Arabidopsis thaliana: one gene and its partners. The protein of the gene in region 1 interacts with the protein of each later gene in a pairwise test. Each region holds a gene or a part of one and is shown in the gene's direction. Other genes may lie near its edges.

Region 1 (8,135 bases):
CATCTTCTCGAAAGATTTGGGAAAGATCCAAAGAATCACAATATTTTTTCGATATTTAGTCGAAAGGAATTTAACATGTCAGGTCCACTTGATCGATTTGCAAGACCATGTAAGAGATCTCAATCTTCTTTGTAATGTTCTTGCTTCTGGGTTAGCTTTTTTCTAGGTTTACTGTAGCTTAAACTTGGAATTGTGTCTAATATAATAATGAGAATCTAAAAATTGTGTCTCTTTGCTTTCTCGTGTCTTCAATATATGTTGTTGAGCTGGTTAAATAATGTGTATTGCTTTAGATAATTTTTAATGTGTCTCATCAAATCAAAACAGCTTTCACTACAGGTTTTGAGGGATTCTTGAGCAGTGATGAGAAAAAGGAAAGAAAGTCAGATTTTGAGAATTCAGAGGATGAGAGGAGAACAAGAATCGGTTCCTTGAAAAAGAAAGCCATTAATGCCTCTACTAAGTTCAAGCATTCTCTTAAGAAAAAGAGCGGAAGAAGAAAAAGTGATGGTCGAGTGAGTTCTGTATCCATTGAGGATGTGAGGGATGTCGAGGAGCTACAAGCTGTTGATGCGTTTCGACAGTCGTTGTTAATGGACGAGTTGCTTCCTGATAGACACGATGATTATCATATGATGTTGAGGTTCTTGAAAGCGAGGAAATTTGATGTTGAGAAAGCTAAACAAATGTGGGCTGATATGATTCAATGGAGGAAAGAGTTTGGTACTGACACTATTATTCAGGTATGCTATTAAATAGAAGATAGTAGTTTAAACCATTGTTGTCTGTTTTTGTAACGTTTTATTTCTCTCGTTAGGATTTTGATTTCGAAGAGATTAATGAAGTTTTGAAACATTACCCACAATGTTATCACGGTGTTGACAAAGAAGGTAGACCTATTTACATTGAAAGGCTAGGGAAAGTTGATCCTAACAGACTCATGCAAGTTACAAGCATGGATCGATATGTAAGATATCATGTAAAGGAGTTTGAGAGGAGCTTTATGATCAAGTTTCCTTCCTGCACTATTTCTGCAAAGAGGCATATTGATTCAAGTACAACTATTCTTGATGTTCAAGGAGTGGTAAGTATTTTCTACAGTTCATGATATTAGTTGTGAAATGAGTTTTTTTCTCATGTGTTTATATAACTTCATATTCAGGGATTGAAAAACTTTAACAAGTCTGCTCGAGATCTTATCACACGATTACAAAAGATTGATGGAGACAATTATCCTGAGGTATTAGTTAATTGGAGCTTCTAATACTTGATCTCAGGTATCAAATGCTAATCTTGGCTTTGTGGTATTTCATGCAGACTCTCCACCAAATGTTTATTATCAATGCAGGGCCTGGATTTAGGCTACTCTGGAACACTGTCAAGAGCTTTCTTGACCCTAAGACATCTGCTAAAATTCATGTATGAGAGATCTAAGTTATATCTCTATTTAAAAGTCTTGTCTTTGATTATATAGAATTCAATATGGACTATTCTATTGTTTATGTAGGTACTCGGATACAAGTATCTAAGCAAATTGCTTGAAGTCATTGATGTCAAGTATGTGAACCTTGACCCACCCTTATTTGATCTGTTCTATCGAAAGCTGCACGTTTTTTTGTTTTTGCTTATGTTCAAAATGGTCTGCACTTTTTTATAGCGAGTTGCCTGAGTTCTTGGGAGGTGCATGTACTTGCGCAGATCAAGGCGGTTGCATGCTTTCTGACAAGGGACCTTGGAAAAACCCGGAAATTGTGAAGGTCATTTACTTAGACTAATCTCTTTTTGGATTCTATTTGTATCATCCAAGTTGGAATCTGAGACATTTGGTTTTCTTCTCATTATTTCAGATGGTGCTTCATGGAGGAGCACATCGAGCGAGGCAGGTGGTGAAAGTGTTGAACAGCGAAGGGAAAGTCATTGCTTATGCAAAACCTTCATATACATGGGTACGTAGTTATTAAATCCTATAACTAGTCAATCTTTAACTTGTGGCTGACCATATTGTGCCTAAACTCTGCTCTGTCATAAACATAGATAAAGGGAAGTGACACATCCACTGCAGAGTCAGGATCTGACGCTGAAGATATCGGTTCTCCGAAGGCTATAAAGAGTTTCTCTCATCTCCGCTTGACACCTGTTCGTGAGGAGGTAACTTTTTTCTCTTTCTTTCTATCTTCTAGTTGGGGAAGTAGTAGATGTTTATCCTGAGGCTTTGCAGGCAAAGATAGCTGGTGAAACAAGCTTGGCTGGTAGTTTTCCGGGTTATGACGAGTATGTACCTATGGTGGACAAAGCCGTTGACGCCACCTGGAAGGTGAAACCCGCCATCCAGAGAGTTGCCTCAAGAGGTTAGTTAGTTAGCTGCTATATGCTTTACGTACCAGTAGGCTCCGGTTTAGAACCAAATACTGAAGGAAAAGAATTTAACCTAATCCTTGTTTACATAGGATTTATTTTCTTATTAGGATTGTTTTGGAGTTGGTTATAAAAACAGAGTTTTTTTGGTCTTTCTTTGTTTGGTGATCTTAACTCTTATCTGTTTCCTTCAGGAGCTTTAATGTCTCCCACCGTTCCAAAAGATCATGAAGGCATCAAGGCTCGAGTCCTAGTAATGTTCATGGCATTCTTGATGGCGGTTTTCACATTCTTCCGCACTGTAACAAAGAAACTTCCAGCGACTACTACTTCTTCCCCAGCAGAAACCCAAGGAAACGCAATAGAACTTGGTTCTAACGGTGAAGGAGTTAAAGAGGAGTGTCGTCCTCCTTCTCCTGTACCAGACCTCACGGAAACTGATCTACTAAACTGTGTGACGAAGAAACTGACAGAGCTGGAAGGTAAAATCGGAACGCTCCAATCAAAGCCAAATGAGATGCCATACGAGAAAGAAGAACTGTTAAACGCAGCCGTCTGCAGAGTAGACGCACTTGAAGCAGAGCTCATAGCTACTAAAAAGGCCCTTTACGAAGCTTTGATGAGACAGGAAGAGTTACTTGCTTACATTGATCGTCAAGAAGAAGCTCAGTTCCAGAAGATGAAGAAGAAGAAGAAGAAACATCTCTTTTGCTTCTGAAGCAAAGCCAAGAAAAACCAGCACCAGGCATCAAAATCTCCCTCTTTCGTAATTCGCTGTTCTTAAGTATAAACAACAAAACAAAACAAAAACTCTTATATCTGATTTGATGTTAAAGCTAATACAGAGAGCTCTGTTTCCTTCTGTGATTATGAGCCACTTTATATTATATGTTTTATTTTTATAATCATAAAAAAATCTGTAACTGTAAACTTGTTAATGCAAAACGAAAAAAGAGTATCGAAATTATTAATCAGGATTCTGTTTTTTTTTAGGATTTTGTTTTTATCCAGATACAAGATATTGTAGCCACATATCCCATATAGTGATTATCTCTTAACGTATCTCAAAAGTTTTTGCATTTTTCTTTACTTCATATTTTGTTTTTGTAAGATCAATCAGTTTTTATGAAGAGAAAATGGAGATAACAATATCCCAATTGTGCTCTCGAGTTAAGTTTTCATCATCATCATCATCATCATCACTTTTCTGTTTCTATGGAAACAGTAATAGAAACAACCTAAATGGAGCTGTTTCAGTAAACTGCTTGAGAGAGAATGAGCAGATCAGTAATATTAGCTTCATTGCGAAGAAACCAAGAAGTCATGCACCGGTGGTGAGAACAACACGCGCCTCCTTGGATGAGAATCAATCCCCAACTTCCGGAGGAGAACGGTGGCTTCTCAAACCAGTTGGTCAGAGGCTATTTTTTTGTTTCTCTAGGTTTAATATCAATGAGCTTCTTTAATCTTTTTGAGTCTTGAAAGTCTTTTTGCCTGAAAACTTATAGGCGATGGAGACACAAGACACATTGGTTACAAAGTGGCAATGCCTGCTCCTTTTGAGATCTCCTCTGTAAGAAACTATACATTCCACTAGATTGATTGATTTTGATGAGTTTTTAGTTTTTGCTAAGATCACAAAAATGGGTATTGAGCAGGGCCAAGTTACCATCGGACGGCTACCGGAAAAGGCTGACGTCGTGATTCCTGTTGCCACCGGTATTTCTCTGTTCTTGTGGTTTTCGGTTTTCTTGAATTTGTAATCAAAGTGAATTTGGTTTTAATATGAATCAATTTGATATAGTTTTGGTTTCGGGTTTAGGTTCGGATTCGGTACTAGATTTTCGATTGTAGATGGTTTATTGCTTTAGTTTGGATCAGAATCCAACACTCCTAGTCTTTTAACCTCAGTGTCAGGAGTCCATGCGACAATCAATACGAATGAAAAGAACCTTCTTGTGACGGATATGAACAGCACCAACGGTACATTCATCGAAGACAAACGTCTAATTCCTGGTGTTGCTGCTCCTGCCTTTCCCGGAACACGAATCACCTTTGGTACACCAATCTTTTCGCATGATTTTCCATCTCTCTCTCTGTGAATGTGATGGACCGATCAATGAGGTTAAACTCTTTGTGTGACTTGCAGGAGATACAAATCTAGCAATTTTCCGTGTTTTCAAGCTCCAAGATAGTGAAGAATCCATAGAGAAACCAACTACAGAGTAACACAAAACCCGAGAATTGCTTATCTTTGCTTGCAATTAACCGGTTTTTGTTGAAATTCTAAGTTGTTTTACAACATTGTTGATTTATATATATATGAACAATAGCTTTTTATATAATATTATAACATATATATTTTTGTTTTTGGTACGTTACAAATTAGGTGTGAAAGAATTGATAAGTGGTAAACATAAGCTTTCAGATATTTCCAGAGGGACAAACAACAAAACATTTACAGAAAGAAAATTTCCCACATTTTTATCTGTAAAAACTCTTCACGAATAATATTTATGTTTATATATATAATAAATATGGATTTATATATATTTTTCCAGGTTTCTTCAAAGTCTTGAGGCATTATCAAGTCTTTCAGAATCCAAAGAACTGAAAACAAAAACAAAAAAAACATATAAATACGTAAACAAAATCAAGTACGAATAAATCTTGAAAAAGAGTGTTTTAAAATGTGTTAGTTTGTTGTTACCTTCTTCTTCTTTTTCTTCTTGTCGATATAAGCCATTATCACATGCTGCGTTGCCATGGTTTCCTCCAGCGTCTGAATTTTCAACAAAATAAAATTGATTTATAACAGGATTATGAAAATGGTCTAAATTTTAGATCAAAAGAATTAAAATAGCTTTTAACTTTTATAAATGAACAAAATAGTCTAAATTCAAACTTCTAAACTCTAAAATAAGAAACTAGTTATGGAGGCTGTTTAACTTTGTACCTTTTTGGTCTGAGCCAACTGAAGCTCTAGCTCGTCGACACGGCTGAGAGCAGCGGTGAGAATCTGTTCTTTCTCTGGCGAGAACGCTGCAGGCTGATTGTCCAAAGACCTACATTTCTCCTCCAACTCGGCCATTCTCTTCACCATCGACATATACTCTTGGTTTGACACCATTGTAGTCTCTGCTTTGTCCACTTCACCACCGTAAATGGCAGCCTCAGTGAGCTTCCTTGGCATGTTCTTCGTTAGCCTCACCACAGTCATTAACCCCATCACCAAAGACATCACTCCCCCGAATAAATAACCTTCTCCTCCTCTCCTCTGCGATGGCTTCACGGCAGAGTATAAATCTGCGACGGCAAGAACACATTTAGGTAATAAGTGGTATTCTTGTTGAAGAGTGTAGCGGTATAGTATAATAGCAGAATCTCTTTTCAAAGACATGAAACTATGATGAATGTTTGGAATGGTAATAAAAAAAAGAATCATGTTTTCAAAACGTGAAAACACGAATAAATTTAGTGTAGTGTCAATGTTTCAATGTAGTGTACCTTCAGGTTCAGGATAGTTTGACTTGTGGAGATTTGTAGGCCATGTAGAAGCATTCACAGTTTTGTCAATCATCGGTATGAATTTTGTGTTCTCTGCATCGAATTTGTTCTTCTGCCAATAGGATTTTCAAAATCAGTCATACAGAGAAAGAGAGAGCTAAAGAAGTAACCTTTATTATTGACAAAAGAGAGAAACTCACCGCAAAGGAATCAGATTTCTTCAAGCAAAAATATGAGAATGTTAGATATTACTGTAAATTTTAAAGATCAAAGATATTTTTGTATTTTGCTTTTACCATTGTTGTGTTCTCGTCCACTGAGATTGTCTTCTCTTCAATGTTTGACAAAGTCTTCCTTGGGCACTTTCCTTCTCCGTTCTGAACCATCTGTATATAGTTCAAGATTCAGCTTCTCAGTTCATCGTTTCGTTAAACGGTTTTCGAAGATTCTCTACTTATCCTACAAATTACCTTGAAGATGTCAGGGTCGTTCCATGGACCTTTGTCAGAACGCATACATCCACCTTTGTCTGCACAAGTGCAGTTACCACCCAAGAACTCAGGAAGTTCACTAAACACAAATAAAGAACAGATAGTTTTCAGATTACGAATTTGCAGCTAAAATGCAGAGTTATGGAGCTCTGTTACTCTCTTACTTGGAGTCGATAATCTCAAGCAGCTTGCTTTGGTATTTGTTGCCAAGAACCTGTACATGAGGGACATGAGATTTCGGACAACCGTAGACCTTAAAGTTTGGATCTTTGAAGTGACACAAAACAGAAAAAAAGCTTACGTGAATCTTTGCGGTGGTCTTTGGGTCAAGGAAAGATTTCACAGTGCTCCACAGAAGCCTGAATCCACTACCAGCGTTGATAATGAACATACGGTTCAATGTCTATATGATCCATAAACACAAAAACAATTCTTAGTGCCATTTTAACTTGATAGAGATAATTACAAACTATTTCAAAACCATTAAGAAAACAACATAGTAACCTCAGGGTAGTTATCGCTATCGATCTTCTGGATACGCTGAAGAAGATCCCTTGCAGCCTTACTGAAGCTCTTCAACCCCTAGAAATCCAAAACAATACCAGAAGAATCACTCACTCATTCTCTCTTTCTCTTTGATCTGTATAACCAAAACAAATGTGGCTAGAGATTAGAGTGCATACCACGCCTTGCACATCCAAGATGGTGGTGCTCTGATCAATATGCTTCTTGGCAGCAATGGAACAAGCTGGTAATTTGATATTGAAAGTCTTCTCAAACTCTCTCACATGGTACTTGACATACCTATCGATGGTAGTGACTTGCATCAGCTTTGTGGCATCAACTTGGCCTAGCCTCTCAATGTAAACAGGCCTTCCATCTTTGTCAACACCATGGTAACCTTGAGGGTAGTACTTGAGGACTTCATCAATCTCCTTGAAATCAAAGTCCTTTTGAAAGAAGAAGTAAAAAGGATCAGACTTTAATTAAAGGAGAAGAAAAAGAAGATGATCTTAAAATGTTTAGGACCTCCATGATTGTGTCAACACCAAACTCTTTCCTCCAATGGATCATATCAGTCCACATTTGCTTTGCTTTCTCAAGATCAAACTTCCTTGCCCTCAGAAACCTCAGCATCATGTGATGATCATCGTGTTTGGAAGGGAGAAGCTCGTCTAGGATAAGAGCTTGACGGAAAGCGTCAACAGCTTGAAGCTCTTCAAGATCAATATCGTCAACAATAGAGACAGACATGACTCGGCTGTTCCTTCGAGTTCTCTTGGTGAAGGAGTGTTTGAATTTGTTGGAGGCATTGATTGCTTTCTTCTTGAGGGAACAAAGCTTTGTTTTCTTTTCATCCTCTGAGCCGTCATAATCTGCAAAACAAAAAAAAAACTTAGATTTCAGAATCTTTGCTACAAAAAGAGTCTCCTCCATTGCAGAAAGATTCCTCCTTACCAAGCTTATTATGTCGATCCATATGAGCAGACATTGTATCCGTCATGGTTAAAGTCTGGATTTAAGATTTCTGTTGTCACATAAACACACATAAATACAGGTTAAAATCCATAGATTATACAGCAGAATCCAATCTAATTTCATCAAGAGATGCAAATAAACAAAAGGTTTCAGTTTTACAAGAGAGTTTCCTTGGAAAACAATCAATCGATAAAAACAAGAACTAGAGACACCCATTTAGACATTTGATCAAACAGAGAAATCTTGAGGACTAAAACAGAGATTCAAGATCATCTGAATAAGAATCAAACCCACATTTTTTGT
Region 2 (8,299 bases), 460 kb from region 1:
TGACAACATAAATCAATTCTATAGATAATGTACATGTTTCAGAATTAGTATGACTTTGGACTTAAATATTCTAGTATTCGAAAATTCTAATGATATAGTTTATTCTTTGCAGAAGAATAACAATTTTGATATGAAAATCGAGGATGTTGTGAAGAACTTGAGTTTTGGCTTATCAAAGCTCACTTAATTGGTTTCACGTTACATACATATACACATTCATCATCGATTTCTCCGATCGAAGAATCCAAAATCAGTTTTTCCATGAAAGTGGTTTTTTAGTTGTTAAGTTTGTTGTATGGAGATTCTTAAGTCATTTAAAGATCCTTGTTCTTGTGTTGTTAAGTGTGCTTTAAGATGCATATCATCAAATGTTTAGTAATTATTTCTCTCCAGTTTCATTTGGGACGGAATTTTTTTCGCAGTTGTTGGATATATATTTCCTGCGATGTAAAGCATTTCGTTAGTTTAATAAACGTCCGATATGTTTCTTTGTATTTTGATAAGCTTTTCTGTCAATTATAGTCACTACGATATATTTATATGATAATTACTGTTAAAATGGTTGAGTAGTTTACTGTTTACGATAATATTTGTCTTTCAAACCATCTATGTTTGATATATTATGGAATTTACAGGTGAATAACGAAAGAACTGAATAAACTAAACGAGAGAAATTTTTCGTATAATACTTATGAAAGGCTAAAAAAAACTAGTTTTAATAAATTAATCACATTTTTTTAACACGATAGTGGTATACGATATAGTGAAAACACAAAATTAAATAAATATTTTGAATGGTAATTATAAGTAACGGAATCACGTTTTCAAAACGTGAACTAGTTGTGTATACATTCAAACCCTATATAGATGACATTGTAGGAAAGATTACGAAAATGCCTTCTGTGAAATATAGGAAGATTATATCAATGTAAATGTATATAAAATCAAACTCAAACAAAAAAAAAAACTCTTCAATCTTAACTAAAGTATGTATATACTCCATAGAGTTTGATATATCGCAAACGGAAATTTTAATAAACTGTTATAATCAGGTTTAATTAGGACGCATTTGGATTCAGTCTTTTTCATTAAAAATATTTTGGTCAGTTCACGAGCATTTTGTCAAAACCGTGTAATGACTTATGAGTTATGTCTATGTGATAAAATGTGTATTAAAAGTGAAAATAAAATCAATTTTTCATGCAATACTTTTTCAGTCGCACCTTTTCATTTGCTAATCATTATGTTTTTTAAATTTATTTAATTAAATATAGTCAAAAGTAACGTTTTAAAACGAGGACCGAAATTAGAAACCTTCAGTTGGCTAGATTTAAGAAAAAAGTCATAAAGCAGACAACTTTTACCAAAGCATGAAGGAGTGTTTGAGATTCTATACGTATATTAATCTATTGAAATTTTTTAGTTTTATGTATGAGAAAATTCACACATTATCAGAATGTACATATACATATATAGCTTTCTAGAAACTATAGCAATTGAATCCAAAGAAAAAACTATAATCGTAAAACAAAAACAAAAACAAAAAATATTTAATTGAATTGAAAACGTGGGAGTAGACCTCAATTTTATAAGTAATTAAACTAATTTCCACTCCCCATGATTTAGTTCACATCTTACGGAAAAAAGTAAAAAGCAAAAGTTATAGTTATAGTGGAAATTCCTTAAAAACAGGCGACCAAAGCAATGCATGAGCCATGAGTTATTTAATTGAATTAAAAACGTGGCATTTTCCTTATTCTATTGGAAACTCGTTTCACGGAGGTCAAACAAATGTGAAAACCAAAAGTGTTCTTTGGAGTTTTGTTTTGTCTTCGTCAGGTCCAAAAAGTCCAACCAAAATGCCTAGAAGGTCACATAAACTTAAGTACCTAACAGGCTAACAGCAATCTTAATTACATGATATTTTGTTTCTGGACCATAATTGTCCTTAATGATGGGAAGAGAAAGGCTACTGGTATATTTCTGAAACTAGTAGGGGTATTAGATAAGAAATAACGCTTATACTATATATAATTTACATTTGTTAGAATTTTTTTATCTAACTTGGTTTTGGGTTTTGATGGAAAATATCTTATTAAATTATAGTAGGAGCTCGCTTATAAGAATTTTGTTTTGTTGTCTTCTCTCTTCTCGCTTTGAAGAAATTCAACATATGATAAACTAAAAAAATTAGTACGTAGTCTATAATTATAATAACTCATTTTTGTTTTTGATATTATATGAAGAATTCAAATAATTACGGATCCAGTGGCTAACCAATAACACTAACAATTTTCATACCTAAAATCTATTTTTTTTGTATATAAAATAGAATAATATAAATGGTTAGTTCCCAACTATTAGAATTATGGACGAAGGAAAAAGACAAAATTGGAAGGCCCCTTAACAGTGAGTTTGATTAGGACGACAATAATAAAATGAAAATGATTGGTCCTATCCAAACTCATTGACGAAATAGTGTGTTAATGTAATAATATGATATATAAAAAAGAAAAAGGAAAAGAGAGTGTGTGAGTAAAAGATTGGTCGTCAGCTGGATTTATGATATTTCGGCGGCATATCCCGTCCCCACCGCACCACCAACCGGAAGGACCATGGCATGGATACACATTTGTCTCACTTTATATCATAAATAAAAAAATATTATATGTTATCCAGATTTCGTATCCAAAATTTTCTAACAAAATCTCCATTTTATAATTCTACTGACCTTTTTAAAAGGCACTGTTGTGACTTCATTTCAAGAGATACGTACCAAATCTTTATTATCAAATATATCGTGACGATAGACATGTACACACATATAATTGTAGTACGCATTACTACGGAAAGAATATTCCAAGAGCTTACCAATTCCATGCCGCATACATTGGCGTTTATCCTAAGTTAGACTTAGGATTCCTAACGTTCCGAATTTGCGTTGGAGAGCAAGTTCCTGATCTGCTTACGGAAAAATATATTCAAACTCAAATTGCGAATGCCGAGACCATTTCAATTTTTGGGTTTTTGTCGAAGGGATGATGAGCAAATTAAAGCTAGTCCACCTTTTTAATAAAATTGCTTGTGAAGAAGAAACAATTAGGTCCAATATTACTAGAGACAAAGGCAATTTATAATTTTAATATTTTTGGTACTGTTTAAAAAAAACTATCAGTACCAATTGAACAATTTCTAATTTTGATATTTATAATTTAGTTAAAAATATGTTTGTCATATTAATTCTTTTTTTGCTCATATTAATTCATTATCCAGTTTTTTAGTCATTACATTTTTATTTTTTTTTTGTTTAGTCATTACATTGAATTAGTCGAATCAGTACATAATCGTTTCATCAGAGAACTAGTGAATTAAACCGACCCAGACTAATTGGAAGCCTTAATTTTGGATCTTATATTGTAGGCATATTAACTTTTTAATTTTCTTACATAAATCCTTCATATGAAATGTTTGTTTTTAAATGGCCATGGCCCAGAACCATTGCATTTTTGGGCTGGATAGTGGATGTATATGTGAATTCGTCATCATACCAACCTGGTCTGGCCTCTTATTAGTGCAGTTAAGACTAAATAACCCGTTTGGTAGGGAGTAGGGACATTTATTATGTCTGGGGTCGTTATCGCCTTATCGGAATCAAATTGAGTTTAAAGACAAAACAGTATGATCGATTAATTATCAAACACAACTTGTTTATAAATGTATAGATGTCGACATCCACATGGTATCATAACTTCTTCTGCAACATATCCCTCGATATCATATCCACCATTAATCTAATTTATTGCAGTATAACGAGTCGAGATATGTTCATGAATTTTCAAACTCATTAAAAAATTGTTGTAATTTTTTGTTTCGTAAGTAAATTTTGTTTTTTTTCTCTTTCAATTTAACAATGTAATTTTCTGGATGAAAAATTTGCAAACGGTATAAAACTTAACATTTCATATGATTTTTTTTTGGATAAAATTACAATTAAAATAATAAATAAAAGATAATAAAGTATAACTTTTGTATATTTTCCTTTATAAAAAGTAATGAGGTTGTTAGATGGACGGGAAGACGGGGACGAGGCTTTACAGAGTTTTTCTATATCCTTGTTGTTTCCGAGTGGGAATAAGCTCAACACCAAAAACACGTGCTTATTTTATTTACACGTCTCTCTTCTCTTACTTTTTTTTTTTGGGTCCATAACACGTAGTTTTTTTTTTTTCAAATTCATAACACGTATATGAATCTCAGACCACTAGAAGCCAACAAATTATACGATCATTATAGACAATAATGAGAAGACTTCTAGTTTCGATCATAATATGTTTAGTTTATACATATACGTCACGTTTTATGCATTATATACACAATCTGGTCAACATAATTATGGAGTGGAGAAAATAATTTAAGCCGCGTCTCGTTGTCGAATATATAGTAAGAATACCTGAAAACACTTTCTATTCATAAACCCTTTACGACAAAACAATAAAGACGTCTCTCGATTTATCTTTGTCTTAATCAGGAAACTATTTGACATTTCTTTATCGATTATTACTTCATATTCGGGTATGGATGAAGATTTTTTCTTACCCGATTTCTCACTAGTAGACATTGATTTCGACTTTAATATTTACGAAGAAAATAATTTATCACCTGATGAATCTTTATCAAATTCACGAAGAGCTGATCAATCGTCAAAGTTTGATCATCAAATGCATTTTGAGTGCCTCAGAGAGAAGCCAAAGGCAGCGGTGAAGCCTATGATGAAGATCAACAACAAGCAACAACTGATTTCTTTTGATTTCTCTAGTAATGTTATTTCTTCTCCAGCCGCGGAGGAGATCATTATGGATAAATTGGTTGGTCGTGGAACCAAAAGAAAAACATGTTCTCATGGCACAAGATCTCCGGTTCTTGCGAAAGAACATGTTTTAGCCGAGAGAAAGCGCCGTGAGAAGCTTTCTGAAAAATTCATTGCTCTTTCAGCTCTCCTTCCCGGGCTTAAGAAGGTATTGCAAATTTAAATTGTAAATTATCGATAAATTTGTTATATATTTAACTATAGATATTTTCATAGTGAAGAAAAAATAATAATTCATCAGTGTCAATTGGTTTTGAGAATACAAAACTATCTTGTGGTTTTTTAGGCGGACAAGGTAACGATTCTTGATGACGCGATCTCGCGTATGAAACAACTCCAAGAACAACTAAGAACGCTCAAGGAAGAAAAAGAAGCAACGAGACAAATGGAATCCATGATTCTTGTAAAGAAATCTAAAGTGTTTTTCGACGAGGAACCTAACCTATCATGTTCTCCTTCAGTTCATATTGAATTCGATCAAGCATTACCAGAAATCGAAGCGAAAATTTCTCAAAATGACATTCTCATCCGAATCCTTTGCGAGAAAAGCAAAGGGTGCATGATCAACATACTAAACACAATTGAAAACTTTCAATTGCGCATTGAAAATAGCATCGTATTGCCATTCGGAGACTCGACTCTCGACATCACAGTCCTTGCACAGGTGATCATTAATAACTATATATATATGCAATACTAAAATGGATAACTCGTAGTTCATCCAATATAATATTGATGTATTAATGAAACTGATAATCTACAATTATGCTTTCTTAACTTTTTGTGTGGCAGATGGATAAAGATTTTTCGATGAGTATACTTAAGGATCTTGTACGGAACCTGAGACTCGCAATGGTTTAGGTCTTCTTTCAAGTTTTAGTAACCTGAGACTGTACATTGACACAATCGTTTCGTGGATTTGCTATCGTTTTCTTCTTGAGATTTTTTCACACGTGCCCACATGTTTGATGTGTTTTTTTAGCAAAGCTATTTCCGATAACGACCGTTGAGAATTAATTTAGATGTAACATTTTTTGTTTGTTAATAATGAATTTAAAATATAACAGAATTGTTTTTTTATTAAGTGGCAGAAATAAATGTGGCCTTATCCGCTGTCCAAAAAAAAAAAACAAATGTGGCCTTATCCTTAGCATGGTCGTAATGCCTTCTGACTTGTTAAAGTATTTTGTAATTATTGACAAACCCTCTTCAATTCTTAATGAAATTCACATTCATGTCAACAAGAAACATATTGTAGAAAGCAAACCTTTTAACCAATCAAAAAAAAAAAAAAAAAGGAAAAGAAGATTGCTTGACATTAAAAAGATATTGTAGAAAGCAAAATTACATCGAAGGTCAATGTTACAAAATTCTGAAATATTTACGAAAAAATAGTAGGGCATGAAAATGGATTAAAAGAATTAACTTAATTATCTATAGTTTTGCCCCAATAAAGATATACAATTATAGTTTTCGTAATTTATTTTGAAAGTTTCAGTAGTTAGCAAATTCAACAACTTAGCTACATTTGCTTTCGACAAAAAAAAAAGCTACATTTGCTCAAAAAAAAATGACGCTAAATTCAACCAAATTTATTACTATTTACCAATAACTATTTAGAAGTCATAGGGCAAGGGCAGTATCGGAGGGACGTGACCAAATAATAATTGCCGCACGACGCGGTACGATTAAAAGCCAATTCAAAACCTTTGAGTACCACCTAACAAAATCATTTCTTGGATACGTTTATACTCACCCCAAATCTGGGATACTAATCAATTATAAAGTTAAGATAAAGATTTTTAATAAAAATAATAATTCAGCGCATCGATTAAGAATAAAATTACAATAAATTAAGCTTATTAAAATTTCTTTCTTATTTCTTGATTTCCGATATAAATAGTCACACGATCAAGGGTCAGCTATAGCTTGATAACATTTAACTTTGTGATCTTCGGATTGACACATGTCTTATCTCTGTTAATAACGCTTTTAAATGGCTCATATACCAAAATGTTTTGCCTAATTACTTCTCTTAATAAGTTTCGAATTTAAAAACTCCCTTCATATCGAGAAAGGAGTGATCACATGAATCACATGTACTATATATCACGTGATCAATTCAATCCGTTAAAAGTTTTTTTTTCCTTCCGTCAACAACTTGTCTTTTGCCACAAACAAAAAAGTTAAAGGATAGTCAACCACTGTGAATACCTCACAATAATTAATTACTATATATTTTATGGTTTCCATCTCTTTGAATATCGACACGAACATGTTACTTCAGCTTCCATTGTCTTGGATTTTGATTAGTGAATAATCGTAGAGGTTTTGACATAACCACAAGAGCATGTGTGCCATAATATGCTTGATTAATGATAGTTTTCCCTGATTCACCTTAATTATATTGTCTAATTTGCTATTATAGTATCATTCAGAGCATGCAGATGAAAAAACTAAATTCGGTGGGAAAAGAAGAAGTCAATTTCACGGGACACTAGTTTGTAATCAAAATTGTTATATTTAATGAAAAAAACACTCTCGGGACGATTTAACTCTAAAGTCTCTAACCACTGCAGTTGAAAGTTTATCAAAAGCGTGGCCATATGTATACATGAGAAATCACGTGTTTGCTCTATTACGTAGTCAACATCACCTTTAAATATCATTGTTATTGATAACTTAAGGAATTAATCAATCGTCGTTCAAACATTGCATTATGTAAGTAAATGCATTTGTAACCATTCATCTACATTTTAAAAGCGTTTTTTTTTTTTTGTCGAAATACATTTTAAAAGCGTTAAGACTTGAGAGAGTAGTCTTAATCAATTGTTAGGTATAAATTTTTTTCCAGAATTGATAACGAACATCCATAATACAAAAAAAAAATTAGAAATTCGGATTTTCCTTATTAGAAATATTTACTAACGAACATTCATAAAACCATAACCACAGTTTTAAACTTGTGGAGATGATTTTTGTTTTTTTCATGTATATAGAAAAATTATTTGAAGGTTCAGTTTTTTAACAACATAAATTATAAACAAAAAAAAAAGTCCAGATGGTGATAGCGTGGTATAATACTAGCATAACCACAACTTAGATTACAATCTACAAATCATGTTCAATCTGACGAGTTTCAAAAATACCCAAAAGTTTTTGTTGGAAACAAATTAAGAGTGAACTGAAAATCTTTCTTTGATAATGTGGAGTTTATGTACTCCATTAAATTATTCAAACGATCCTTGTAGTGAGAAGGTTCATTCGATATTTGTTTATCATCATAAATCTCCGCAATTAATATGTAGACAATAACAATAAATAAAATTTGTAAGGAGTAACATGGAGGGTGGAGATCATTAACTGATATAAACTATAAAGGCTTTAATAAAATGGATCTCAATCTTTTCCAGAAAGAATAGCATCTTAAAG
Region 3 (8,652 bases), 1.6 Mb from region 1:
TTCTTTATCCTTGTAAACCTACACATTTATGAATTTTTGTTTTCTAAACAATATTTTTATCATTTTTGATAGTTTTTTTTTTTTTTGTCGGCTCATTTTTGATAGTTTACTACATAACAAATAACTGTGTCACTCTATATTTTTTCTATATATAAATTTTATTTGTATTGTAATAAACTTGGGTACAACAACTCTAATAGAAATAAATGCGAGCAATACTAAAAATAAAATACTTATAAAACATAAACTTAATAGTTAACTCTATACCCTAAGGAAACATGGAACCAAAGGAATCAAAGTATACCGGATACAAAATATTATTATTACATAGTTAATTAAGAATAATTTGGATTTCTATTATTCACTTTAAATTATTTATTTCTTTTCAGCCTTGCAAATGTGGCGTACAAAATTGTGTCAAAAGCTTTATCTGAAAGGATTAAGCCTTGGTTGAATTCTCTAATCTCTGACAACCAATCAGCTTTTATTCCTGAAAGAATGATCACAGACAATATCCTTATTGCACATGAACTTATTCACTCGCTTCACACTAAGAAGCTTGTTCAACCTTTTGTAGCTACAAAACTGGATATCACAAAGGCTTTTGACAAGATCGAATGGGGTTTTATTGAAGCGATAATGAAACAAATGGGGTTTTCAGAGAAGTGGTGTAATTGGATTATGACATGCATCACAACTACCACGTACTCTATTCTCATCAATGGGCAACCAGTGAGACGAATTATTCCAAAGCGAGGCATTAGACAAGGTGATCCTATTTCGCCTTATTTATATTTATTATGCACAGAGGGTCTATCAGCTTTAATTCAAGCATCTATTAAAGCAAAACAACTACATGGTTTTAAAGCTAGTAGAAATGGACCAGCAATCTCTCATTTACTTTTTGCACACGATTCTCTGGTGTTCTGCAAAGCTACTCTGGAAGAGTGTATGACCTTGGTTAATGTGCTTAAGCTTTACGAGAAAGCATCAGGTCAGGCAGTTAATTTCCAAAAATCTGCAATTCTGTTTGGTAAAGGTTTAGATTTCAGGACTAGTGAACAACTTAGTCAACTTCTGGGAATCTATAAAACAGAAGGTTTTGGCAGATATTTAGGTTTGCCTGAGTTTGTGGGAAGGAATAAAACAAATGCTTTCTCGTTTATAGCCCAAACAATGGACCAAAAAATGGATAATTGGTATAATAAGCTTCTTTCACCTGCAGGGAAGGAAGTGCTTATTAAATCAATTGTCACAGCCATTCCCACATACAGTATGTCATGTTTCTTGCTTCCCATGAGGCTTATTCATCAGATCACAAGTGCTATGCGATGGTTCTGGTGGTCCAATACAAAAGTCAAACATAAGATTCCGTGGGTAGCCTGGTCGAAACTCAATGACCCAAAAAAGATGGGAGGGTTAGCAATTCGAGATCTAAAAGATTTTAACATTGCTTTGTTAGCCAAACAGAGTTGGAGAATACTGCAACAACCATTCTCACTCATGGCAAGAGTTTTTAAAGCAAAGTATTTCCCAAAGGAGAGACTTCTGGATGCAAAAGCTACAAGTCAATCCAGCTATGCGTGGAAAAGCATCCTCCATGGTACAAAGCTGATCTCTCGTGGCCTAAAATATATTGCAGGGAATGGTAATAATATTCAGTTGTGGAAAGATAATTGGCTACCATTAAATCCTCCCCGTCCTCCTGTTGGTACATGTGACTCCATCTATTCTCAGTTGAAAGTAAGTGATTTGCTCATTGAAGGCAGATGGAATGAAGATCTTCTCTGCAAACTCATACACCAAAATGATATACCTCATATCCGTGCTATTCGACCTTCTATAACAGGAGCAAATGATGCAATTACATGGATATATACGCATGATGGAAACTACTCTGTCAAGTCAGGCTACCATCTACTACGTAAGCTCTCCCAGCAACAACATGCTTCCTTGCCCTCTCCAAATGAGGTTTCAGCTCAGACTGTATTTACAAATATATGGAAACAAAATGCCCCACCAAAAATAAAGCATTTTTGGTGGCGATCGGCTCATAACGCCTTACCCACTGCAGGAAACTTAAAGAGGAGAAGACTGATTACTGATGATACATGCCAACGGTGTGGTGAAGCCTCGGAGGACGTGAACCACCTTCTCTTCCAATGTAGAGTCAGCAAGGAAATTTGGGAGCAAGCACATATAAAACTCTGTCCAGGTGACTCCCTCATGTCGAACTCTTTTAATCAAAATTTGGAATCTATCCAGAAATTAAACCAATCCGCAAGAAAGGATGTAAGTTTATTCCCTTTCATTGGATGGCGAATCTGGAAAATGAGGAATGATTTAATTTTCAATAACAAGAGGTGGTCTATCCCGGACAGTATACAGAAGGCTCTTATTGATCAACAACAATGGAAAGAGAGTTTAAACTGCAATGAGCAACAACAGAGGAAACCTCAACTCCATGATAGTCACAATAATAAGTGTTACGGCGGCCATCTGAAGACTTTAAGAACACTATCGTAAAAGCAAATAAATATTGCTGTTTTGTGGATGCATCATGGATATCTCCTACTGATTGTGCAGGCATTGGATGGATCCTCTATGATAGGAAAGCTCAATTTGTTCTGCGAGGAATGTCGTCTATACCCCCAACCAGCACACCGCTTGAAGCAGAAGCTGAAGCCCTTAAACTAGCAATGATTCATCTACAGAGGCTTGGTTATGAAGACATTATCTTTCATGGTGATGTTGCAGCTCTGTTTCAGCCAATAACCAGAACCACACATTCGTGTGAGTATTCACCGATAGCAACATTTCTCCGGGACATCGAAAATATTGCCGCAGATACAAATCGATTGGTTTTTCAAAAATCCCACGTGTCCTTAATTTTAAAGCTGATCGATTAGCAAAAACAGCTAGAGTACAAAACTCTGTCTTTGTAATATCTTGGAACGCTGTTTGATGTATCTCTTTTCATAATATAATGAAAAGTTGACGACAAAAAAAAAAAAATATTATTTATTTCTTTTCACTTTATGAAATTCAGTAATTATATAATTAATTGATAAATATTATCTATTTTATAGATACATGACATATTACATATATTAGACAAAACATATGAATTTGTGAAGAAACTAACCGAAATGGTGAATGTGTGATTAATGGAGAGGGCAAAATTGTTTGTTTTTTTTTGTCTCAGCAAAAGTGGCAAATTTAAAATACCAAAATCAAAATGGCAATTCTACAAAGATTATTAAAAAAAAATGGCTTTCTCATAATTGATTCAAATAAATTTTATTGTTTGCTTTGTTCAAAAGAAATGGACTAAACTAGCTAAATTGGCCGTTCCTCGTTCAGATATAGTCCATCAGCTAGGCAAAGTAATATGGACGACAAGGATGAGCGATAACAACGGCCATCACATTTTATTGTTTGTTTCTGTGTTACTAATGACGAGCTTTAATAATTAAAAGTAATGCTTCTCCTGTTGTAATTTATTTGTACTCTAAAGGTTTTGAGCACAGATTAAATCATCAAAATCTCATTTAGTTTATTTGTTTACATAAAACATCATTAATTACAACTAATTCAACCAATTAAAAAACCATATTGTAAAATAAAATTGGTCAAAAATTATTAAATACATTTAATTTTTGCATAGAAGATAATTTGTTGTTGTTTTTTGCAACAAAGGTTTTTTGGTTAAACTACAAATAATTAAAACAAAGGGAGTATTTATTTTGTTGTTGTTTGTGAAGTGATATATTTATATTAACGACTTTTCACCAAATCAGCTAGGATGAAACAAATATGAATTCTTTGTTGAAATTTCTATGAAATAATATATGATCAACTAATACATAACAAACATAAATTTTGTAAGCCCAGCCCACTCTATTAAAAGTCAATGGTAAGTGAAGGGGGCCAAACCACCCTACCCTGGCCTTGCTCACACCCTGTAACTCTTACGTATCTACGTATTCTTCTTTTAATTAATAAACAGTGGAATTAATTAATTTTGTTGGCCAAAAGAAATTCTTGTTAATTCGTTGTCACAGATGATATCAGTCTGGAGAGACAGATCATGTAATGAAGTTGTATTAAATTTAATCTCGTGTCATTTTTAATAGTATAATTTGCACTTCACATAATTTGTATATTGGGTCTACATTATTTAGTCGTAATCATATAAGTTGTGTCCACATTAGTCAAGTCATCTCCACACGATGGAAGTAATCATATTTTAGATAAACAGATTGGATCCTAACCAAAACTTTGAAAAAGAAAATGGCTGCTAATGAAGAAGAGCCAATATGTCGTTTGTCTCATCCAACTCACTCTCACACCCTCTCCCGTAGAGCCGGAAGAATCCCTCCATCGGGTTGCTTCGCATGCGACAAAGAAGAACCCTCACCATGTTCTACCTTCCATTACTCCTGCACCACTTGTGATGTGGAGTTCCACGATATTTGTCACGTGTATCCGAGGAAGCTCACACACCCTTATCACCTTCAACATCCTCTCACCCTCACCACTCAAAACACTGAAATAGAGATCATATCTAAAAACCCCGAATATGGTTACATATTCAAAAATTGTAATTGGTGTGGAGATGATTTGAGAGATGGATCTCAATTCTATCATTGTTCTATTTGTAACTTTTGTTTAGATCTCTCTTGCTCCCAAAACTTTCCAACTCTTACAATTACAAATCCAAAAAGCCACCATCATTCCCTCTTTTTATTTCCTTGGCCCCTCTTAATTCCATGTGAAGCTTGTGAGCTGGTTAGTTTGTTGGAACCAAGTTATACTTGTTTCCAATGCAACTATTTGGTTCATGAGAGTTGTATCAACTTACCGCGTGTCATAAAAATAACGCGTCACCCACATCGTCTCTCTCACACTCCTTTCCTTCCACCTACAACTCCATCTTGTCGAGTTTGCTACAAGACAGTCGACATCAAATATGGCCAGTATTCTTGCGATCATGAAGGTTGCTCTTATGTTGCCCATTCCAAATGTGCAACACATATGCACGTTTGGGACGGAAGAGAACTCGAATGGGAACCAGAAGAACTCGATGAAACTGAAGATATTGTGCCATTTAAGAAAGTGGGTGATAATATGATCAAGTATTTTTGTCATGAACATCACCTTAAGCTTGAGAAGTATGATAGTGTCCGAGACGCAAAGAAACAATGTCAAGCGTGCATCCTTCGTATCGACTCTTATGATTTCTACAACTGTGTGCAATGTGACTTCTTTCTTCACGAGGTATGTGCTGGTCTTCCTCGAAAATTGGCTCATGCATTGCATAAGCATCCTCTTGTTCTAGACCCTTCTCCTATACTCGATTACAGTTCCACAAGTTGTTCAACTTGCGCCCGTGAGTCCACTGGTTTCAGGTACAAATGTTCAAAAACTGATTGCGATGATGAGATAACAATTCAGATAGATTTTCGATGCATTTTAGTTCCTGATTGTTTCACCCACAAAAGTCATGAACATCCTTTATTCATCTCCACATCATATTCTAGAAAAGGAAACATTTCTTGTGATGGTTGCAAAGATAGTGTTCGTGATGAGTATTATCTGCAATGTACTATTTGCTCATTTGCTATGTGTTATCGATGTGCGACCATTCCATATGAGTTATACTACAAATATGATGCACATCTTCTGTCGCTTTGCTATGGAGAAGATGCAGAGAAAGCATATTGGTGTGAAGTATGCGAGAAAGAATTGAATCCAAGAGAATGGTTCTACTCATGCAACAAATGTTGTATCACTATCCACCTTGAGTGTATATTCGGATCTTCCGTTTATATTAAGTCAGGTTACACATTCTATTTCGGCTCTGCATCGATGAAAATTCTTGGGAACAATAGTCATACTCGACCGATTTGTTATAAGTGTGATCATCGTTGCCCGGATTCGGTGTACTACAAGTTGTTTGAGAAGGTTTTTTGTTCCTGGCTTTGTGTTTGGACATCTGACATTGAAAGTTTTGACAATGTCGAAAAGGAATAAGCCTTATATAGTTTTTGGGACCGTGAAGAGTTCTTTTGTAATAGATTCAACATTTATTATCTAAGTGTTTGAGTTTACATAAGGCAACAATGTAACCTAAGTTAATAAAGCCGAAAATTTTGGTTAGTGTTAAATGGACCATGAATATTACAAACTTAATACTGTAAGTAGGAATATTACTTCGTGTCTTTCATCTCAAATATATTATTATTTTTCCTTTTGGATGGCTTCGACTTTTCAGACATGGTCCGCTCCATATGTACGGTCCAGCAGAAAAAAATCAATTCATGCACAATTACATAAACTAAAATAGCCTAGCCGAAATCTTGACAAAAAAAAAAAGATAGCCTAGCCGAAACATAAACAAGAAACAAAGCCCAAAGTCTACATAGAGCCGAATGGTATAAAATTATTGGGTGACATATGATGCGTTGGATTATTTACGTATTGAAACTAAATAATCAAAAAACACTAATAATAAACTCAGGTTAATTGCTGTCATATAGGTTATCATAGTCTCTCAAGACATGTTTGGGAAAGACAGCCACAACTTTTATAAATTCACGATTACATTTCGGATCCAATTTTAAATTAATAATATAACTATATGGACAGACCGGAGACATGTCACGAGGAAAAATCCGTTCTATTTTTCTTTGTCACAAATTGCTTATAAAATTAATCATCTAACACTCTATATTAATGACACGTGTACTTATCATTGATTATAATTCTACTTAAATTAATTATCAATATATATATCGTATATTTAGAAAAATAGTCATTTAAACTTTACAAATTACTACATATTAAACTATAATCTTTAAAATATTTATAAAAAAAACATAAAAGTTGGTAGAATTTACATAACTTCTACATTTAAATTCATTATTACAATAATTTAATACATAAACAATTATAAAATATATTTATACTTTAAACATAATACCAGTAAAATTATTTATTTAAAGTAAGAAGGCCAGCACAATATTACAAAACTATAAAAGTCAATGAGTAAATCGAAACTTATTATATATAATTGATAGTAGCTCCCCTCTACAATTCCAAAATAAGCAAAGACATATTTTATTTTAAAGTAGATCGAAACAGCCTGTAGCCATTTCGTCTTAATGTACTGTTGTATTGTATTGTGGATCATTGTTCGTATGAAATTATGTGCTAGTTAATTTTTGTTGACACATATATATATATATATATATATATATATATATATATATATAGACACTCGTATTTGATCTTGATCATAACAATAAAAAGAAGACAATACTAGAGAAAGAAAAAGAGATCTAAAGAGTAAAAAATGTCTTATGGCCAAGAAGAGACGATATCTTATGGCGGAGAGGAAGAGCTATTAATATCTAGCAAAGTATCTGGTCAAGAAGAAGAAATATGTCGTTTGTCTCATCCATCTCATCCTCACACCCTCTCCCGTCGATATGGTGAACACCCTCCGTCTGGTTGTTTTGCAAGCTCAGACTCCACATTCATAAGGCATTCTCTTTATTTCTATTTTTTCTGTACCACATGTGATCTAGAGTTCGATCAGTATTGCTACTTGCGGCCAAGGAAGATGACACACCCTTATCACCCACAACATCCTCTCATTTTCAGTGTTCAAGACCGTCAAACCGGCATCATACATGATTCCGATATACATTCCTACGACGTATCATCAATAATACCTGAGGATAGTTCTATTCTTGGTAACTGCAATTGGTGTGGAAATGATTTAAGAAGTTTTGACTTTTTCTATCGATGTTCTATCTGTAACTTTTCTTTGGATTCTAGTTGTTCCCAAAGCTTTCCACTTCCTACCATCTCAAATCCAAAAAGCCATCACCATTCACTAATTTTCCTTCCTCGACCTCTTTTGTTTCCATGTGATGCTTGTGGGTTGGTAGAGCAATGGAGACCAAGTTATGCTTGTTTTCAATGTAATTACGTGGTCCACAAGGATTGTATAGACTTACCACGCGTCATAAAAATCACCCGTCACCCTCATCGTCTTTTTTACACTCCTTTTCTTTCACCCTCAACTTCATCGTTGTGTCGTCTTTGCTACGAGACAGTTGATATCAACTATGGCCAGTATACGTGCAATCATGATGATTGCTCTTTTGTAGTCCATTCCAAGTGTGCAACACATAAAAATGTATGGGATGGGAGAGAACTCGAATGGGAACCTGAAGAGTTTGACGAAACCGAAGATGTTGCACCATTCAAAAAAGTTGGTGATGATTTGATTAAGTACTTTTGTCATGATCATCATCTGAAGCTTGAGAAGTATGACCGTGTTCGAGACATGGATAAGCAATGTCAAGCGTGTGTCCTTCATGTCGACTCTCGCCATTTCTACAACTGCTTTCAATGTGATTATGTTCTCCATGAGGTATGTGCCAATCTTCCTCGGAAACTAGATCATGGATTGCATAATCACCCTCTTTTCCTAGACCCGGTTCCACTAAACGCATGGGATTCCTCAAATTGTTCAGTTTGCGAGCGAGTGACCGTTGGTTTTGTGTACAAGTGCTCCAAAAAGAGATGTACGCGTATTTACCAGCAAAAAAGGTTCCAGGTAGATGTTAGATGCATCTT
Region 4 (7,691 bases), on another chromosome or scaffold:
TTTCAGCGAACCCTCAACAGCGGTATTCCTCTCCCCGTTGTTATTTTCCACATCGTCGTCTAAAGCAAGAGTGACACCAGCTGGAATGTGACGTCCGTTCGTTTTAGCGATCGAATGCATCAGCTTCATCGCCTCATCTACTTTGCCTCTCACGAGATACCACCTTGGGGACTCGGATATGAATGGGATAACAATGAGTAGGAACAAGAGAGATGGTAACGATGACACTATAAAAAGCTCCCTCCACGATCTGAAAACGTAAGCGATGCCGGATAAAACTGCAATGCCCGCGGAGAAGAAGTAGAAAGTTGACATTCCGGCTACACCGCGTTTGCTCGGTCCAATGGGTTCAGTGGCTAAGACAAACGCGGTTAGGCCAACACCACCGGTGCTGAAACCAGTCAAGAAACGGAGAACTACATAGGTCCAGTAGTTTGGGGAGAAAGCTGTCGCGATACCAAAGATTGCGTTGATAATGCATACAACTGTTAGCGAGCCTTTTCTTCCTAGCTTAGAGTCCGATAAATGTCCGAATACTCCTGCACCTGCACATTATTGAGTCGGTACACTATCATTAGGCCATGTTTGTAAGTTGTAATTAGAAAATGTAATCAGAAAAAGGTATACAGTAGTTAAACTTTGGTTAAAGACTTATCAAAGATTTGGTAAGTTCATCGGGACCATAACGCATGTATGGTCTACATAAAGTTGTTTTTTGAGATATGTTGGACCAATGTTTCACAATCTTTTTTTGTTGACATGAAAACGATATCTTCAACCATGGAAGATGACGTCTTCATGCCAGTTACATGTAAAATTTTTGACTAGTATGCAACTCTAATTGGATATTCCTTCGTATATCCTATTCATTGTATAATGTGTATCAAATGTAGAGATTGGATAATCCAGAGCCAAACTGTCCTTTTTTATAAAGTAATCTAAACATTAGCCAAAATAAGGCAAACAACTGTTGGTTTTTCTATTATTTAGGTGGGTCATATTATAATGATCATTTTGTTTGTTTGTTTGTGCAATTATACATGTAGTTAAGATGTTTTTGGCCTCGTTTGTGTCAAATGTGAACGTGAATGTTGTTAGCATCATTCATTAATATCATCATATAAACGCTAACGAATACTGTGTTAACCAAGACCATAAGTAGATGTAAAAACAATTACGGGATGTCAAACATATTTCAAACTTTCATCAATAAGTATAGTTCAAATTTTTTTTTTAAAGTAATGAAATGATGTGGATGAACTTATGTTTTTACGACAAAAGAATCATGATTTAAGTCTGAAGCGTATAACCCAATGTTTATTTGCAGACAAGGCCAGAGGGGCAAGCCATGCCGCGAGAGATTTGTGTGTTTCGACTTTACAGATCAATGCAACGAATTAAGAAGGAATTTTATAACTTTAAACCAAAAAAGCGAACAAGATAATATATAATGTGATCAACTCGTTAGTCAGTCACACGTATATTATACATTTTTTTTGGGTCATTTTAGTAGTTTTGTTTTCTTTTTTTGGCACCAATCATACCTATCAAAGTCTATCTTTTCTTCTTCGCCAATCATTTTTTTTACGTGTGTAAACTTGGACCGCCTAATGGGTTAAAATTTTAAAGCATTATCATCCAAAATTTATAATATACTATAGAAATGAAAGGTATATCGGAAAAAAAGTGAGGTATATCTTTACTCTATAGTGTTATTTTCTAAAATTCGGATAATCATAAAAGATTCATGTGATCAAGGCACGTGGTACGAATATCCAGATTCAAGCCAACGTGCCCATTGATCTGCTCTTACTAATTTATTGGTGCGATCGATATACACTAGCTAAGTTATGCACACAACTAACAACTAATTTATTGTTTGTTGATATATTCATTAATTATCGGATAATCACGTAAAGAGCTAAATCCACTAAATTACAAGTTCATAATTTTAGAATGATTTTTTTTTTTGTCTTATCGAATTAGATAAGACACTCAGAAACTATACTAAACTCCTAATTATGTATTTATTTATTTTTCTTAAGAAGATAATCCAAGATTAGAGTTTAATCTTCTTTTTTTGACTGTAATTAGAAAAACTATTCGACGTGAAAAAAATCATTTTCACGCTACAGCTGTAATTTACTGTTTTTGTAATTTTCCTAAATCACAAAAAAAATATAGAAGGGAAAAAAAAAACTTACCGATCATGCAGCCGGCGAAGAAGAGAGCCTGAACAAGACCAACTTTATACTTGTCGCCGCAAATCAATCCCCACTCCGACACCGTGGAGCTCCCTTTACCCGCCGTCCATTCCCAAGAACTCGGATCCAACTCGCAGTTCAATGACCCGACCCGACAATCCGACCCGACGCATCTCCACTCGGGTTCTTGATCGGCAAATATCATCACCATCGTGTGGAACGCCTCTAAAGCCCAAGCAATACACGTCAACACGAAGTGTTTCAACTGCCACCTCCCAAACTCGCCGCAATATCTTTGTAACATCTCATCTATGCATAATCTCTCCTCTCCCTCCGCTTCTTTCTTCACCGGAATTTTCTCTAGCAGCGGTTGTCGGACATCGTTACCGTTTCTATCCTCCGGAGATTCCATAATTTATGTTTTGATTTTTACAGTGTTTTTGTTTTTGTGTTTGTGTTTTTGTTTAAAAGGCGTTCTTGATTTGGTTTGACGCGAAGAAGGAGGTGGCTTCTTTGTCGTATTTATATCTCTTGTTTATCGGAAAACAATTTTTCCTTCTTTTTTTCTCTAGCGTTTTTTATTCTCTTTTGATTTAGTAACTATTTTTTTTTGTTGACGATATTGACTACATGCTCTGCTTATATATATTTTAACTATGTCATGTTATTAACGTTTATGAGTTGTCACTTTGAAAATTAGTAAGACACATCATGTATTATTTCTCAAATTAGTATTGTACATTTCATTTCAAAGTCAAAAACACATGATTCTATATATGGTTGATTACCTAATGTGTAATCGTGAATTAGTAATTAATACGACATGCTAAAAATTGATTAATCATGTTTAGAAAAATATATACTATGATAAACCTGAAATTGTGTCACACAATTTTGATGAATGTATATACCACATTTCCATATTATACGTTTTAAAAGTAAGATTTTCATAAATTTTAAAATTATTCATAACATTCACTAAAATTAGATGTGTATAATTAACAAACTAAAAATATCATTAATCTACTATTTTAGTAGTTATTTTGCGAAAATATGTTTGAGTTACAAAATATTTTCACTATTTAAATCATGTCGATTATACCCACTGAAGGGTATTTCCGTCAATCCCAATTCTAACAATGAATTCAGGAGTATAAAAACGTAAATTCAAGCGTGCCAATTATAAACCGTCGATCATAATCTAATCCAACGGCAGTAACATCGATCCGCGTGATTGTTTATTATTGGATAAGAATCACTCAACCGTCTCTACACAGTATATATAATAACCAAAGAGCGTCCTCTTACGCTTATCTTAATTTCCCTCGCATTGAGAATTTTCAACTTTTTCTATCTCTCTTCCCAAATCACAAATGGCGGGTCGCGGCAAAACTCTCGGATCTGGCGTTGCTAAGAAATCAACATCGAGAAGCAGCAAAGCCGGTCTCCAATTCCCCGTTGGTCGTATCGCTCGTTTTCTAAAGAACGGCAAGTACGCAACACGTGTTGGTGCCGGAGCTCCGGTTTACTTAGCCGCCGTTCTCGAATACCTCGCCGCTGAGGTAATTATCCCCTTCTCTCCCTATATCTCTTTACTCTTTCGATCTTCAATTTCGTAAAACCCTAATTTCTAAATTGGATCTGTTGTGTTGTAGGTATTGGAATTGGCTGGAAACGCAGCTAGGGATAACAAGAAGACTAGGATTGTGCCACGTCACATTCAGCTCGCGGTGAGAAACGATGAGGAGCTGAGTAAACTGCTTGGAGATGTGACGATTGCTAATGGAGGTGTGATGCCTAACATTCACAGTCTTCTTCTTCCCAAGAAAGCTGGTGCTTCAAAACCTTCCGCTGATGAAGATTAGATTAGGGATTTGTGTTGTGGTTGTTTAGCTAATTAATGTGTAGCTTAGTCTTTCATTAGATTAGATCTGAATTAGTTTTCATTAATGGTGTTGTGTAGTCTCTCTTTTGCTTCAAAAACAAGTATTAAAATCTTATTATTTTGAATTGAATCCACAATCAATACACATTGAAGTCCTAACAAACTACTTCTTCCCAGTGATATTTGAAACCAAATCACTAAGAAACTTAGCTGATTTGGTAATAGGAGAATTCATAGCCATCAAGTTATACAGAACAAGCTCAACTTCTTCGATTGATGGTCGAGAATTGAATTGTGAAACAACTTTCAAAGTACCATTACCTTCTTCTTCTTCAACGAGAACATTCCATCTTTCTCCACTCACAACACCGTCTCTTACACACTTAAAGATCACTCCTTTTCTCTTACTAAACACTCCTCTCACTTCTAAGCCAGTGAACGCATAAATCACTTCAAAGGAACCAATAAAGCCATCTCCAAAGCTTTTCTCTTCTTCAAACAACCATCTCGGATTGATCATTACTACAGGTTTTGTAGAAAAAGCTTCACTCGCGGTCTTAACATCCTCCAGCTGCGATTTCTCCGGAGCCATGAAGATCGCCACGTCAGCAGATCTCAGAGCTGTTTTAAGAGAGTCTGAGACCGGAGACATGGCAATGTGGTGGATAGAGTCTGACCGGAAAGCTTTAACGGCGGGATCGATGAATGAAGGGTTAGGCCAGAGGAAGAGAAGCTTGACATTAGAGCCTCTTCTCGAGATGGGTAAGTCATGAAAGATCGAGAAAGCGAGCTGAGAGAGTGACGAAGGAGAATCATCGTCAAGGATTGGGATTTCAAGACGGAATCTTGGTTGTTTGAGCTTCCTGAGTTTTGGGGAAGCGAGTTTTGGGTTGTTTAAGGGTTTGATGAGACATGAAAGGAGACAAGTTTTGGCTTGATTAATGGCTTCTTCTTTGGAAAGGGGAGGAGAAGAAGAAGAAGGTGAAGGAAGAGAGGAACAGAGAGGAGCGAATAAACGAGTAGTGGTTGATTTGTGGTTGAGCTTTGAATGCTGTTGTGAGAGTGATTTGGAGAAATGAAGATGGAAAATTCTGGAATTGGGAGGAGATAACGAAGGAGGAGATGGGTTTAGAGCTTTGAATGTCTGTGAATTGAGTTTGAAGAGAGTCGAAGAAGCCATGGCTGATCTCTGATGATGAGGAAGAGAAGAGAAAGAGGATAAGGTTGTTCAAAACTTCAAATAAGAAATGAGACAAAACCGATCGAGTTACATAAACGAAAATTTGATTTCGGTTTGGGTCGGTTTATATAACCAAACCGAAAATAAAGTAAACAAAACAAAGGAATTGCTTAAACAAAAGTACCTTGCTCGTCACTTGTTGTCTCTCTGTTTTGTAATTTGATAACTTATAAATCTTCATTATATAATTGCATAAAGAGATGAGAAACAAATTAATATTAAAATAAGATGAAAGCAAGAAGACTAATTCATAGGTCTGGTTAACTTGATTTGAATAAAACTTGGAGCATAAGAACACATAGGACCTGGTGTGCATAGAGAGTCACCGAGACCCACTGTTTTGAGACTACTTCACAGAACTTGGTACATAAGAGCACACAAGACGGCAAAGTGGTTGATATAGAGGTTCACGGAGATCCGCTCTTCTGAAATAACCATTCTCTCCAACGATGTAAGCTATGTGGACAGTGGATTTGAGCCCCTCTGTCTCCTCTTTATTAAAAAACACTACGACTTTCTCTTCATCATAAATCAAGTATCCCTCAGTCAGAAAAAATCTTGGTGTGTTATCAACTTTTAAGAACTTGCTCCACGAGACTTCATCGGGCTCAATCTTGTTCGTAACCCAAATATCGATCTCAGATTTGCCACCCCGCCACCGCTTTACTAACACCGCAAGCTTCTCTTCTCTTACCACATATAGACTCCCCAAAAATTCATCGATGAAGGGTTGAGGTAGAGGCAGACGCGGTCCGAATCTCTCTCTAGTAAAATCAAAGCATATTAAATAACAATCTTCTGATCTTCTATCTTTAGCATACCAGTAAGTATTTCCCTTCAAAGACACGCCATCTTGCATAAACGCTATATCCCATTTAAGAGGGAAACTAGAAACCATCCGTGAATTAGACCTCAAATTGTAGATTTCAAGTCTATTAGGGTAACTATCGAAAACCCTTAAGATTTTGTGGCAACCACAAGATTTGTCGTATCCGAAAGCAAGTTTGTCAAAACTTGCAAAATTATTTATGCGTTTGACCCATTCACGTTTCCCCCAATACGGGTTACAAACCACAAGCCTAATACTATCATCAGTGATGCTTCCGTATAACAACAATAAACCGTTGCAGTGAAAGACATTGAATATTTCCTTGAATATTAGATCTAAATTTTCTAGGTGAAGAATACCTTTATTCTTTATAGATAGATCAATAATGTTGTTGTTGTTCTGAATACCATGGAGATTGACGCCAATTGAATAAACCTTACAATCTTTAATCATTATCAAATCTCTTTTCCCTGATGCGGTTACATTGCCGATGTGCTTATTTGCAAAGCTCCGATGTTTGGATAGAACGTTCCAGGTTTTGCAAGTAGATCGCATTGCTTTTAAAGATATCAACGGAAGCCTAGAGAGAATCTCCTCCACCAAATCATGTGGAAGATCGGACATCATCATCGTCGCTGTTTCAAATTTCGAACAAGGATTGATCTATTTGGCGCAGATGTTAGGTCAACTTTCATAAACTCTTTTCTTTCAGACTATCGATAGATTGTTATTGAAGACACATAAACCCTAGTATTTAATTGTCTGAAATACACAAAACTCTCAAACATCCTTGTTTATTGGGCCACTCTTATTTTTAGCCCATTGGACGTATTATCCTTCCGCTCACGTGGCACAAAAACGATTGAGTTATAAACAAAATTTTTGGTATCGGTTTGGGTCGGTTTACCCTAAACCCTGCTGTTAAATTCAAAGATTAAAAGTTTTTAAAGACCAATCCTTCTTAGTTCTTACCTTCGTTTGGTTTTGTCAAATTAGTTGATGTTATGTGAGTGAAGCAATGATGAGGAGCTGATTTGTTATCGTTTTGGTAATGATGTCACTTGTGTATAGCTGCAAAGTTAAGATCCATTGCGTTGCGTGTTCGCTTCTCTGTTTCACACTCTTGCTTATAGTTTGATCACACCATGAAGATCACTAGGTTTAACAGAATAACACTGAGAATTGTATTATACTGTAAAACTAAAGTCTGTGTTGTGTGTATATGTCAAGACTCATGAGCAATGTCTCCTGCTTGAATCAACTCTGTTTCTAAGCATTTTTTACAGTCTATAGGTTATTAAGCAATGAGTTAACAAAGGTAAATTAAGAACCATGTTGAGAATTCGATTGCAACCCAAAATAGTAAAAATATTAAATAACTTAATTCATTATCAGATTGGATAAAAGAGAATGAGAAAACAATTCAAAGAAGTTGAAAGCAAAACGAAAATGTAAAAAGGACTAAACCTGGTTTACTCGATTTGCACACAACTTGGAACATAACAAGACACAATACGGCAAAGTGGTTTGTTT

Evidence for each region.
Region 2: the proteins of AT2G21530 (region 1) and AT2G22760 interact in a two-hybrid assay, tested with the Arabidopsis thaliana proteins (one large-scale study listed by BioGRID).
Region 3: the proteins of AT2G21530 (region 1) and AT2G17600 interact in a two-hybrid assay, tested with the Arabidopsis thaliana proteins (one large-scale study listed by BioGRID).
Region 4: the proteins of AT2G21530 (region 1) and HTA13 interact in a two-hybrid assay, tested with the Arabidopsis thaliana proteins (one large-scale study listed by BioGRID).

The regions. Positions count from the first base shown.
Region 1 is NC_003071.7:9,215,881-9,224,015, forward strand, and holds AT2G21530 (SMAD/FHA domain-containing protein), read left to right. Parts: upstream 1-3,371; 5' UTR 3,372-3,491; coding exon 3,492-3,768; intron 3,769-3,863; coding exon 3,864-3,928; intron 3,929-4,013; coding exon 4,014-4,074; intron 4,075-4,266; coding exon 4,267-4,413; intron 4,414-4,504; coding exon 4,505-4,584; 3' UTR 4,585-4,728; downstream 4,729-8,135. Other genes in the region: AT2G21520 (Sec14p-like phosphatidylinositol transfer family protein), read left to right, coding at 76-109, 328-743, 818-1,084, 1,163-1,240, 1,318-1,419, 1,508-1,557, 1,658-1,757, 1,848-1,946 and 3 more; SFH3 (SEC14-like 3), read right to left, coding at 4,951-4,965, 5,066-5,137, 5,312-5,661, 5,863-5,974, 6,063-6,080, 6,159-6,248, 6,333-6,432, 6,518-6,567 and 5 more.
Region 2 is NC_003071.7:9,673,438-9,681,736, forward strand, and holds AT2G22760 (basic helix-loop-helix (bHLH) DNA-binding superfamily protein), read left to right. Parts: upstream 1-4,406; 5' UTR 4,407-4,574; coding exon 4,575-5,015; intron 5,016-5,153; coding exon 5,154-5,531; coding exon of another isoform or gene 5,532-5,567; exon of another isoform or gene 5,568-5,659; coding exon 5,660-5,728; 3' UTR 5,729-6,065; downstream 6,066-8,299. Other genes in the region: AT2G22750 (basic helix-loop-helix (bHLH) DNA-binding superfamily protein), read left to right, coding at 113-187.
Region 3 is NC_003071.7:7,651,861-7,660,512, reverse strand, and holds AT2G17600 (Cysteine/Histidine-rich C1 domain family protein), read left to right. Parts: upstream 1-4,293; coding exon 4,294-6,036; downstream 6,037-8,652. Other genes in the region: AT2G17590 (Cysteine/Histidine-rich C1 domain family protein), read left to right, coding at 7,358-8,652.
Region 4 is NC_003074.8:7,225,895-7,233,585, forward strand, and holds HTA13 (histone H2A 13), read left to right. Parts: upstream 1-3,495; 5' UTR 3,496-3,577; coding exon 3,578-3,766; intron 3,767-3,859; coding exon 3,860-4,069; 3' UTR 4,070-4,252; downstream 4,253-7,691. Other genes in the region: OCT4 (organic cation/carnitine transporter4), read right to left, coding at 1-545, 2,205-2,616; AT3G20680 (plant/protein (DUF1995)), read right to left, coding at 4,253-5,269; AT3G20690 (F-box and associated interaction domains-containing protein), read right to left, coding at 5,676-6,788; AT3G20700 (F-box associated ubiquitination effector family protein), read right to left, coding at 7,631-7,691.